Arabidopsis thaliana: one gene and its partner. The protein of the gene in region 1 interacts with the protein of each later gene in a pairwise test. Each region holds a gene or a part of one and is shown in the gene's direction. Other genes may lie near its edges. The genes, in order: AT4G18670 and AT1G68185.

Region 1 (5,677 bases):
GTAAAAAATAATATCTAAGTCGTGCAAAAAAAAAAACCCATAAATTTCATATGAAACGTATAAACTAGTAGTATTTTAGTAACTCGACAGTGAAAAAAATAACTCAAATAAACAAAAACAAATCATGGTATAAGAAAAAAACTTGTCTGTATTCATAGACAAAGAGTAAGCGTCGCTAGACTTGTTGGAGCTTTTGTTATTCCTTATGTGTATAAGACGACAACAGCAAAAGCTTAGGCATGCATCATGTCGGTAGTGGTACTCTACTACTACGTCTCACTCTCGTATACACATTAAGACACCTAACATGATCTCTTCTCTACTTAGACAATATTACAAAAAGATTATCTACTATACGTACCTCAAACTCACGTACTCACATCAACAAGTGGTTAAGTTTGACTTCCCGGCTCCGCCTCTTGCGGCGGTTGCATCCTCCCCACGTGCACACCCACGCCTTTCTCTAACTCTTCCCCACTCTTGCAACGACAAGTTTAATCTTTACTCGGCGAGCAAATACTATGCCGCTTGAACCGGCGTAACAACACCCACGATCTTCCTAAGTGTCTCAAACCTCAGCTTATCAGCTTACTAGTATCCAATCTATAAATGTAAACACTTTAACTTGTTATGATTTATCGTAAATCATTTATGAATCAAGAAAACCAAATTTATATGCGTCTACAACTCTACATGAACTGGAACATCTGATTGATAACACATTATAGTTCATATTTTCATATTTGCAAGCAAAGGTATAAGAAGAGGATGGAACAAAATATAAAAAATGAATTGAATCACTCGCCATAAAATAATATACTTGGCACATTATTTATGTTTTTTGCCAAACATTTGGCACAATTTATAAATTTATAAATTACAAAGACTGAAGCAAACCATTATTCCATATATACAAAAAAAACTTAGCATTTAAATTTATATTATAGACAATCGCAATAACATCAAGGGTAAATATAAACATTATTTCATATTCTGTCGATCCAATATATATAGAGAAATATAAAGGTATATTATTACTGTGGGTCATGTCGTTTTAAGACAATTCCGACATAAGAACAGTTAACTGTTGAACTTTATTTATGTTTTGGACTAGTGAGTAGTGACACCTCAAAAGAAAAAAATGAATACACGTGAGTTACGAGTTTCAACTAATTCATTTAACTTACTGTTTGACATGATAGCTGTAAAATACAAAGCACAGCAACATTTTCATTTTATGGGCTTTAACAACATTGATAATCCATGTCAAGCGAGAGATAACGATAATTGAGTTCATTTAGATTCAAATTTCTTTTAAATGAGAACTTTTAACAATGGAGCTCTTTTTTTTTGGCTTCGGTTAGATATTCTGATTCAAATTGTACACAAGCATCATTATGGATATGCTTATATTAAAAACCGTGTGATGGCCTATTAGTAACAAGTAGTATTTACCAAACTTTGATCAAAAAATTATTAGTAGATATAAATGTTTTCCAATGCAACTAATCGTTGTATTGGAATAGTTCATGATGCAAACAAAATTATTAACAAGTCTTTACCAAAATTTAATCCAAATGTATGGCTAATCACAAAAGGTTTCCAATATCAGCAAGTAATAATTAATAGTTGAAATGATGCTAAACAAAATTAACTACCTAATGCCTAGAGCAATGTAAATTGTCTCTAATCAAAACTTTAGTGTTGACCAAAATCATTAAACAATTATAATTTGTAACGTATATAATCAATCATGTGATTAGTTCAAAAAAGAAACCAAAAAGTCGATCATACATTTATATAATTGTTAGGTAATTCATGGACACACATCAATTAATTAACATTACACTTTTGACAGTGTAAAACAGACAGTGTTATAATAAGTGAAGAGTATATGAATAGGGCTGAGCTGTGCAAAGACCTGTCTCTCTCTCACTTATAATTCCCTCTTCACACATTACTTCTTCACTTATAGAGATTCTCACTTACATTTCCCATTTTACCCTTCTTCTTCCTTCAAATCCACTGATGTCTTGTTATGTGAAGTAATGAAGACGAAGATGATGATGAAGAACACGTCTCTGATCTTTGTTCTTCTTTTTATCACCTTCTTCTTCACAAGTATCTCTTACTCTCTTTCACTTACTTTCAATGGAGATCTCTCCGACAATGAAGTCCGGCTAATCACACAACGTCAACTTCTCTACTTCCGCGACGAGTTCGGCGACCGCGGCGAGAATGTCGACGTTGACCCATCTCTAGTCTTCGAGAATCCACGACTTCGAAATGCTTACATAGCTCTTCAAGCTTGGAAACAAGCTATTCTCTCTGATCCAAACAACTTCACAACAAACTGGATCGGTTCTGATGTTTGCAGTTACACCGGCGTTTACTGTGCTCCGGCTTTAGATAACCGCCGGATCCGTACCGTCGCCGGAATAGATCTAAACCACGCTGACATTGCTGGTTATCTACCTCAAGAGCTTGGTTTGTTAACAGATCTCGCTTTGTTTCATATTAATTCAAACCGGTTTTGTGGAACCGTACCGCATCGGTTTAACCGTCTTAAGCTTTTATTCGAGCTTGATCTCAGTAATAACCGGTTCGCCGGAATATTCCCTACTGTTGTCCTTCAGTTACCGTCGTTGAAGTTTCTGGATCTAAGGTTTAACGAATTCGAAGGACCTGTACCAAGAGAGCTCTTCAGCAAAGATCTTGATGCGATTTTTATCAACCATAACCGGTTCCGGTTTGAGTTACCGGATAATTTGGGAGATTCTCCGGTTTCCGTTATTGTTGTGGCGAATAATCATTTCCACGGTTGTATTCCGACGAGTTTGGGTGATATGAGGAATCTTGAAGAGATCATCTTCATGGAAAATGGGTTTAATTCTTGTTTACCGTCGCAGATCGGACGGTTGAAAAACGTAACGGTATTTGATTTCAGTTTTAACGAACTTGTTGGGTCGTTACCGGCGAGTATTGGCGGGATGGTTTCGATGGAGCAGTTAAATGTGGCGCATAATAGATTCTCTGGTAAGATTCCGGCGACTATTTGTCAGTTGCCGAGGTTGGAGAATTTCACTTTCAGTTATAATTTCTTCACTGGAGAGCCGCCGGTTTGTCTTGGGTTGCCTGGGTTTGATGATCGGCGGAATTGTTTGCCGGCGAGACCTGCGCAGAGATCACCAGGGCAATGTGCGGCTTTCTCTTCTCTTCCGCCGGTGGATTGTGGTTCCTTTGGATGTGGTCGTTCTACTCGGCCTCCAGTTGTTGTCCCATCACCGCCTACAACTCCGTCTCCGGGTGGTTCTCCTCCTTCGCCTTCTATTTCTCCTAGTCCACCGATCACTGTCCCGTCACCGCCGACAACTCCATCTCCTGGTGGTTCTCCTCCTTCACCGTCTATTGTCCCGTCTCCTCCTTCAACTACGCCATCTCCTGGTTCTCCTCCTACATCGCCGACGACACCTACTCCTGGTGGTTCTCCTCCATCATCGCCGACGACACCAACTCCTGGTGGTTCTCCTCCATCATCGCCGACGACACCTACTCCTGGTGGTTCTCCTCCATCATCGCCGACAACACCTTCTCCCGGTGGTTCTCCTCCTTCACCGTCTATTTCTCCTAGTCCTCCGATCACTGTCCCGTCTCCTCCGTCAACCCCAACATCTCCTGGTTCTCCTCCTTCGCCATCTAGTCCAACTCCGAGCTCTCCTATTCCTAGTCCTCCTACGCCATCAACTCCGCCAACTCCGATATCACCTGGTCAAAATTCACCGCCTATTATTCCTAGTCCACCGTTCACCGGCCCTTCTCCGCCGTCGTCACCTAGTCCTCCTTTACCGCCTGTTATTCCTAGTCCTCCCATTGTAGGCCCGACTCCATCGTCTCCTCCGCCGTCAACACCTACTCCGGTTTACTCTCCTCCCCCGCCGTCTACAGGGTACCCTCCTCCCCCGCCGTTTACAGGGTACTCTCCTCCATCCCCACCACCTCCTCCTCCCCCAACTTTCTCACCTTCCCCATCAATACCTCCACCACCGCCTCAGACATATTCTCCCTTCCCGCCACCGCCACCTCCTCCGCCGCAAACATACTATCCACCGCAACCATCTCCATCACAACCCCCGCAATCTCCAATTTACGGCACTCCCCCTCCTTCCCCTATACCTTACTTGCCGTCACCGCCTCAATTTGCATCCCCACCACCACCAGCCCCTTACTACTACAGCTCACCACAACCACCGCCGCCGCCACATTACTCATTACCACCACCAACCCCTACTTATCACTATATATCCCCACCACCTCCACCAACGCCAATACACTCCCCTCCGCCACAATCACATCCACCGTGCATAGAATACTCACCACCTCCACCTCCAACAGTCCATTATAATCCTCCACCACCACCATCACCGGCGCACTACAGTCCTCCGCCTTCACCACCAGTTTACTACTACAATTCACCTCCACCTCCACCGGCTGTCCACTACAGCCCACCACCTCCACCGGTAATACACCACAGCCAACCACCACCACCTCCAATCTACGAAGGGCCACTACCGCCGATTCCCGGAATATCATACGCATCTCCTCCGCCGCCTCCCTTCTATTGATTCTTTTTCAGAATGTTCTCAAAAGGGGCCCACCACTTATGCCAAAACCCGAAAACGAAACGGTGTCGTGTCGTGTCAATAACACTTATCCGATTGATAGAAACATGTAACACGGCGTCGTTTGACCATTTCTTGGAGAGAGATGTACGTGTTGGTGGTTGGGTATTCTCCGAAAGATTTATTTCGGTGAACAAAATTTTAAAAAGAAGAAAATTAGGCGTTTTTCAGGGAAAAGTTGTATAAATAGATTAATTAAAATATGGAGCAACCTCATATTTATGCTCCTTATATTTCTTATTAGTGTTCTTAAATAATTATCATTGTTTTTTTTATTAAACTTTATCATTGTTACTTCATTTTTTGTGTTTTTTCTTTCTGGTTATCTTTTTCTTCTCATATATGAAATTATCTTTTTTGTATTTCCTTATTTAATTACTGCAACTTTTTGCCTATGTTAGCGTCTTTTAGTTTTATATTTTTGATATATCAGAAACTCCAAATAAACTATATGTATATTATTTTTTTGTTCTCAATTATTCTGGTTCATGCACGAGACTTGTGTGTGAGAGACTGTGAGTGTGAAATCGGTATAAAGTAAGAAAAAGAAACATAATTGAATCCGGTCCAGCATGAAATGCATAGTTTTGGATGAAGCAAAGCCAAGTAGGGCCAATGTCACATGTGCCCAGCACCACCTGACTGACTACTTTGCTGTTGGAATTTATATCGGATCCTTGATTGCCGCTTTCATTTTTATTATTTTAATTTTTATATTATTGTAGTACTATATGTTTGTAATTTAGCTTTAGATTTGTACTTCGTAAATAATTAGGAAATTGTTTATACAAAAATATTCTTATATAAAATCGGTATTTGAAAGGAAAAATGGGTGAAATTTTGAATTTTGGCTTTTAAACTGTGTTGGGGATGTGAGAACTGAAAACTGTCCTTTTTTTTTTGGTAGTGATGTGAGAACTGTCCTTGCCTGCCGACAAAGTCACGATAGAGAAACATTATGCGTGAAATGTTTCATTTTTATTTACTTTACCATTCGT
Region 2 (4,965 bases), on another chromosome or scaffold:
AAACAAATAAGACTAGCAAAGATATCACAGTCAACAATCTCCCAACATTAAGTACAAATGTCCCTTGATCAACCATCATTTATATATGTTGAACGACTTGTTGTTAGTATATTTGATTAAGTGAATATTAACATTATTATTCTATCTAACGATGATTTATTGAACCATCTATGTAAGTTATTATGTGCATATGACCTTTGTACTACCACATCCACAACTTCATAAGATGTTGCATGGATTTTTTTTAACGAGCAATAATAAATTGTAAAATCTTATTTGGGTCTAATTAATTTCACTTCTGAGTCATACAATATGTACATGAACTAGTAAGTTGGAATGGGCCCATAATGGGCCGCTCAAATAACTCTCCTCCAAACCTAAAACCCTTTATCGTAATTGATTCTCCAAGCATCCTTTTGAATCTCTGATTCCTACAAGACAAATCACTAAAAGATTCGCAAGTTGACATAGCAGAGACCATACGACACCAACCTAAACACAGAAAAGAATAACTCATTCACTCGTATAGGCTTTGTCTTGCCTCTTCTTGAAAACATGTACACGTATTTAATTATAAATGCATATATAAAGATCCTACCGACGAAAAAATAAAAAGATTGAAAACATGACATCTGCTTATCGTCCAAGAGTTATTGTGAATGGAACAAGAAGAACAAGAACGTTCCATTACTTCTATTGTCGCCATTGTAGCCGTACCATTAGGCTAAGAAGCTTTGGTCTATATGGTCCCATATGTCCTTTCTGTTCTAGAGAGATCAATCTTCACGATGAGCTTGACATTATGAGGCCAAGCCGACCTTATTGGGATAGTGATACCGATTGGATCACTCTCCATCTTATCAACGAACCAAGAAGTAACCGGTTCAATCATGATGATCTAGTTTATAATACTGACGAGGAATTCGCTGATGTCATGCCTAGTGTACAAATCGGTCCACCACCAGCCTCGCAATCCGCCATCGAGGCTGTAAGGACGGTGATAATCACGGATGAAGATTTGGTGAAAGAGAAGGTTTGTGCGATATGCAAGGAGGAATTTGAAGTTGGAGAGGAAGGAAAAGAATTGAAATGCTTGCATTTGTACCATTCAAGCTGCATTGTGTCTTGGTTGAACATTCACAACACTTGTCCCATTTGTCGTTTTGAGGTTAACTTAGGTGTTTCCGAGAGTAACGTAGACGAAGGAGGGTCTTACAACATCGACAATGATCGATCAAATCGGTTTCGGACTCGGGTTTGTTCTTTGTGGCCTCTCCGAATGATGATTGATTGGGTACATAATCTCATAGGTAAGATTCCACCTCCCGATATAGCTTTCATGGCTTTTCTATTATGCTTATACGGGTTTTGACTATGATATTTAACTCTTAAAAATATATACAATTTCGCAGATATAAGAATAACAAACTCTTGACAAAAAAAAATTAAAGAATTGCAAACAAGAATGTATGAAACTAGGAATATTATTGACTACATATTAAGTGTATTATGACTTATGAGAGAGAGGAGAAGAAACACACATCAATAAGAAACGACAAAAAAAAACTACATAAAGAGACAAAGAGGGTGATCATGAAAGGCTAGAAGCGTGTTTATTTCATGAAACAAAACTTTGGCATTAACAAGACTATATTTGCATTAATTATCTTTTATTCATTTGTAAGTTGTAACAACATGTAAATAAAAAATCTTGGTAATAAGGTTAGTCCTCTACTCTACTAGCTAGGGTTCCATGATCTCTCATAGTCTCTGAAAACGCTTTGTCTCCCTTTCTTTGTTTCTTTCTCTCTCGTGATCATCGAACACAATTTACTTAGGTATGGTTTGAATAGCCTCACCAACCCTTTTTATTTGCCGGTTATCTTATTTTTGGCCTGATTTTGTAAAGCCGAGTTTGTGCCTTCTCGGTTTGGTTTACTATAACCTTCATGTAGAGCTTCCCATGGACTTCTCTACTAAAGACTTAGGATGAGTCTTGTTGTACCATCTTTTATTGTCATGCATTCAAAAATACCAACAAAATTCTACTAAAGTACAACAGATCTCAAATGACAAATACGCAATCAACTATGATGGTCACCCAACCCAATTAAACCAATCTGAAAAAAAAGTGTGATAACCAATGAAAACTCGGCCCACTAAACAGGCCCAACAAACAAATAATAAACCCAAGAGGTGCTTCTTAATCGCCGATGCCTCTCTTCATCAAAATTCAAAATCACTTTTGTCTTTTCAAAAATCACAGCAAAATAATATTCAAATTCAAAATCTGTCCAAATTCATCTAGGGTTTCTGATAAAACAGACGAAGAAGATCCAAATTCGCTAACAATGGTGAGAATTTTATGAATTCCCAATACCCCAATTTTTAAAACCCTAATTTTGTCTGTTGTGGGATTGTGTTGATGCCTGAGTTTTTCTGAATTTGTATTACTGATTGATGATCAGGGAGGTGAAGGAGAAGATCTAGAGCCACTTTTTGATTATCGTCGTGTTCAGCCAGCGAATTTCGTTTGTATCGATGGTGAGTTTCGATTATTTGATTTGGTCACTGAGCTCGACACTCGACAGTGATAAAGATGAATCCTTTATTATCGCTTGAATTTTTGTAGATGATGATGATGATGCCTCGGTGACGCCAATTCCGAAGAAAGCGAAAACTTCACAAACAGTAAGAATTGATTTTTATTGATTGGTTGTTGTCTCATTGAGCTCTTTGTGTTAACTTGATAGATACTTTTGGTATTGTGGGCTTGTAAAGAGTTTTGAATCAATGTCAGTGAAGGAACAATTCGATTATGTACTTCACAATTCATAGGTTGAATCTATCATCATTCCTTTTGGAACTTGAATCTTTTTATATAGGTTGAGAAGTTAGATGATGATGTGAAAGTGATTGAAGTTACGGGTGATGACGATTGGTTGCTTCCTCCACCAAAGGTTATCTTCGACAAAAGTAAAGACTCTGTTGAAGATTCAACTATTAAAGCATTGAGGTAACTTTTGTATGTCTTTGAGTATTTCTCATCTCTAAGCTTCCCATGTTGCTGTTAGAGGCTATGGTAGTGTTATTTGCTATCCGGAAAGAGTCCCAGTGTTACAATTTGATTATAAATGAAATATGTAACGTAGGTCGAAGAAGATGGAGCTCATGTCATTTACAAAAACTGTAGGAGATGTGATGCAGGAAGTTGAGGAGTCTGCTAAAAGGGAAGTTGAAGAATCTCGCAATCCATCTTCAGAGACTGCTGCTCAGTTACCATCAGAGCCTACGAATGACAGGGCCAAGATTGTTATTACAATACAGGACAAAGATGGACAGAAGACACTCCGGGTGTTTGCGGTAAGTTTTTTCACTGCTTGCCACTTACTATCCAACCTTCCATCGACAATAAGCTTACTATCCAAACTTTTTCTAGCTAGATACTAGATATTTAGTAGAGATAAGAATTAGTTGTTATGTCACCTTCGCTACTATCTAGATAGCTAGATATTTCGAGCTTTCTAGGAAAGCAAGAGTATAAATACAGGGATTAAAGAAATCATTGAATGGGGTCGAGTATTTGAGACGTGTATTAGTTGATGGATCTTTAAACTATTCTTTGAGTTCATCTAATAAACTAGAGAACGAGTTCATGTTCTTATCAATGTATCATCACCACATAGCATTTACACACAGAATACATATTGCTTGCTCTCTGTCATACAATGAGCCGCTCATTAATAGATATGCATATTCTGTTAAAGCTTGTAAAATATGAGAATGTTGATTTGGTATTTACCATTTTCTTGTAGGACGAGAAATTTGAGAGGGTTATCAAACTGTATACAGATAAAGCTAAGCTTGACCCGCAAAATCTTGTATTTATTTTTGACGGTGATAAGATTGATCCATCAACCACTCCTTCTGAACTTGGCATGGAGGATCATGATATGATTGAAGTGCACACCAAAAAAACTTGACAAATAGGTAACTTATGAAGTCCTCCACATCTTTCTTCTTGCTCTTATTGTGATATGATGATAACTCATTATCTTCGATTGAATTCAAGTCAGGCGCTAATCGGAATCTGGAATGTCAAATCTGTTCCATCTTTTGCGAAAAACCAGAGTTTTGTACATCAACATGGGCATGGGAAGGGATCTCTCTGCTAACATCTGGTGTTTGTATCTGTGACCTTTCTCATTTTATCGGAATTTTGTTTCTTTCTTTCTTTCACTCTTTCTGTCACTCTTTATTAGGCGTGTATAATATATAAGGTAAACCAAACCATTTTGATTTTAACTAATCCTATTGAATCCAATCTAAAAATCTAACTAAACTTTTGTTTGGTTTTAATCGTTATGCTTTCTCTATCTCTTGAGAAACATAAATATATATCTCACTAATCTAAGACAAAACTAAAACTATTGTATGTATAATCAGTATTGCTTTTTACTAACTGACAAAAACTGGAATCAATGGTAAATCGGTTAAATTCGGTTTAGTGTACTTTTTCCTTTGTTTCTTAGTAAATGTCGTTTTACACTGATATTTTTTATATTCAAATATAGTCTCATGACTCTAATATTTCTTGTTTTGTAACATTAGCTTTTAATATAATCTTGATAGAAAAGAAAACATCACATTAGTCATTAATAAAATTCTTAAAAATGTAAAATTATAAGAATTAACACATTCAAGTACTATTTATGTGTTTTAGTTCATGTGAAAAATAATAAAACCAATTAACGAACTAACCAAGTCGGATAATTGTAGTTTTTGTTTGGTCCGGAGTTAGCTACGACATGTGGCATACAATAATTGGTTAGGAAAAGCTAAGCTTTAAGAGTTAGAGATGATGGGTCGTGAAAGAAGAAGCTGTCACAGTGGCACATACGTCCGTGGCTTCCCCATATCTCACGTGCATACGGATAACGTAATCACCATTTTTTCTAAGTCCCC

The links.
Region 2: the proteins of AT4G18670 (region 1) and AT1G68185 interact in a two-hybrid assay, tested with the Arabidopsis thaliana proteins (one study listed by BioGRID).

What each region holds. Positions count from the first base shown.
Region 1 is NC_003075.7:10,274,863-10,280,539, reverse strand, and holds AT4G18670 (Leucine-rich repeat (LRR) family protein), read left to right. Parts: upstream 1-1,745; 5' UTR 1,746-2,048; coding exon 2,049-4,622; 3' UTR 4,623-5,078; downstream 5,079-5,677. UniProt on the Arabidopsis thaliana protein: Modulates cell morphogenesis by regulating cell wall formation and assembly, and/or growth polarization.
Region 2 is NC_003070.9:25,554,191-25,559,155, forward strand, and holds AT1G68185 (Ubiquitin-like superfamily protein), read left to right. Parts: upstream 1-2,192; 5' UTR 2,193-2,213; coding exon 2,214-2,354; intron 2,355-2,468; coding exon 2,469-2,544; intron 2,545-2,632; coding exon 2,633-2,691; intron 2,692-2,885; coding exon 2,886-3,016; intron 3,017-3,152; coding exon 3,153-3,363; intron 3,364-3,815; coding exon 3,816-3,983; 3' UTR 3,984-3,990; exon of another isoform or gene 3,991-4,076; 3' UTR 4,077-4,343; downstream 4,344-4,965. Other genes in the region: UMAMIT23 (nodulin MtN21 /EamA-like transporter family protein), read left to right, coding at 1-68; AT1G68180 (RING/U-box superfamily protein), read left to right, coding at 626-1,310, 1,413-1,435.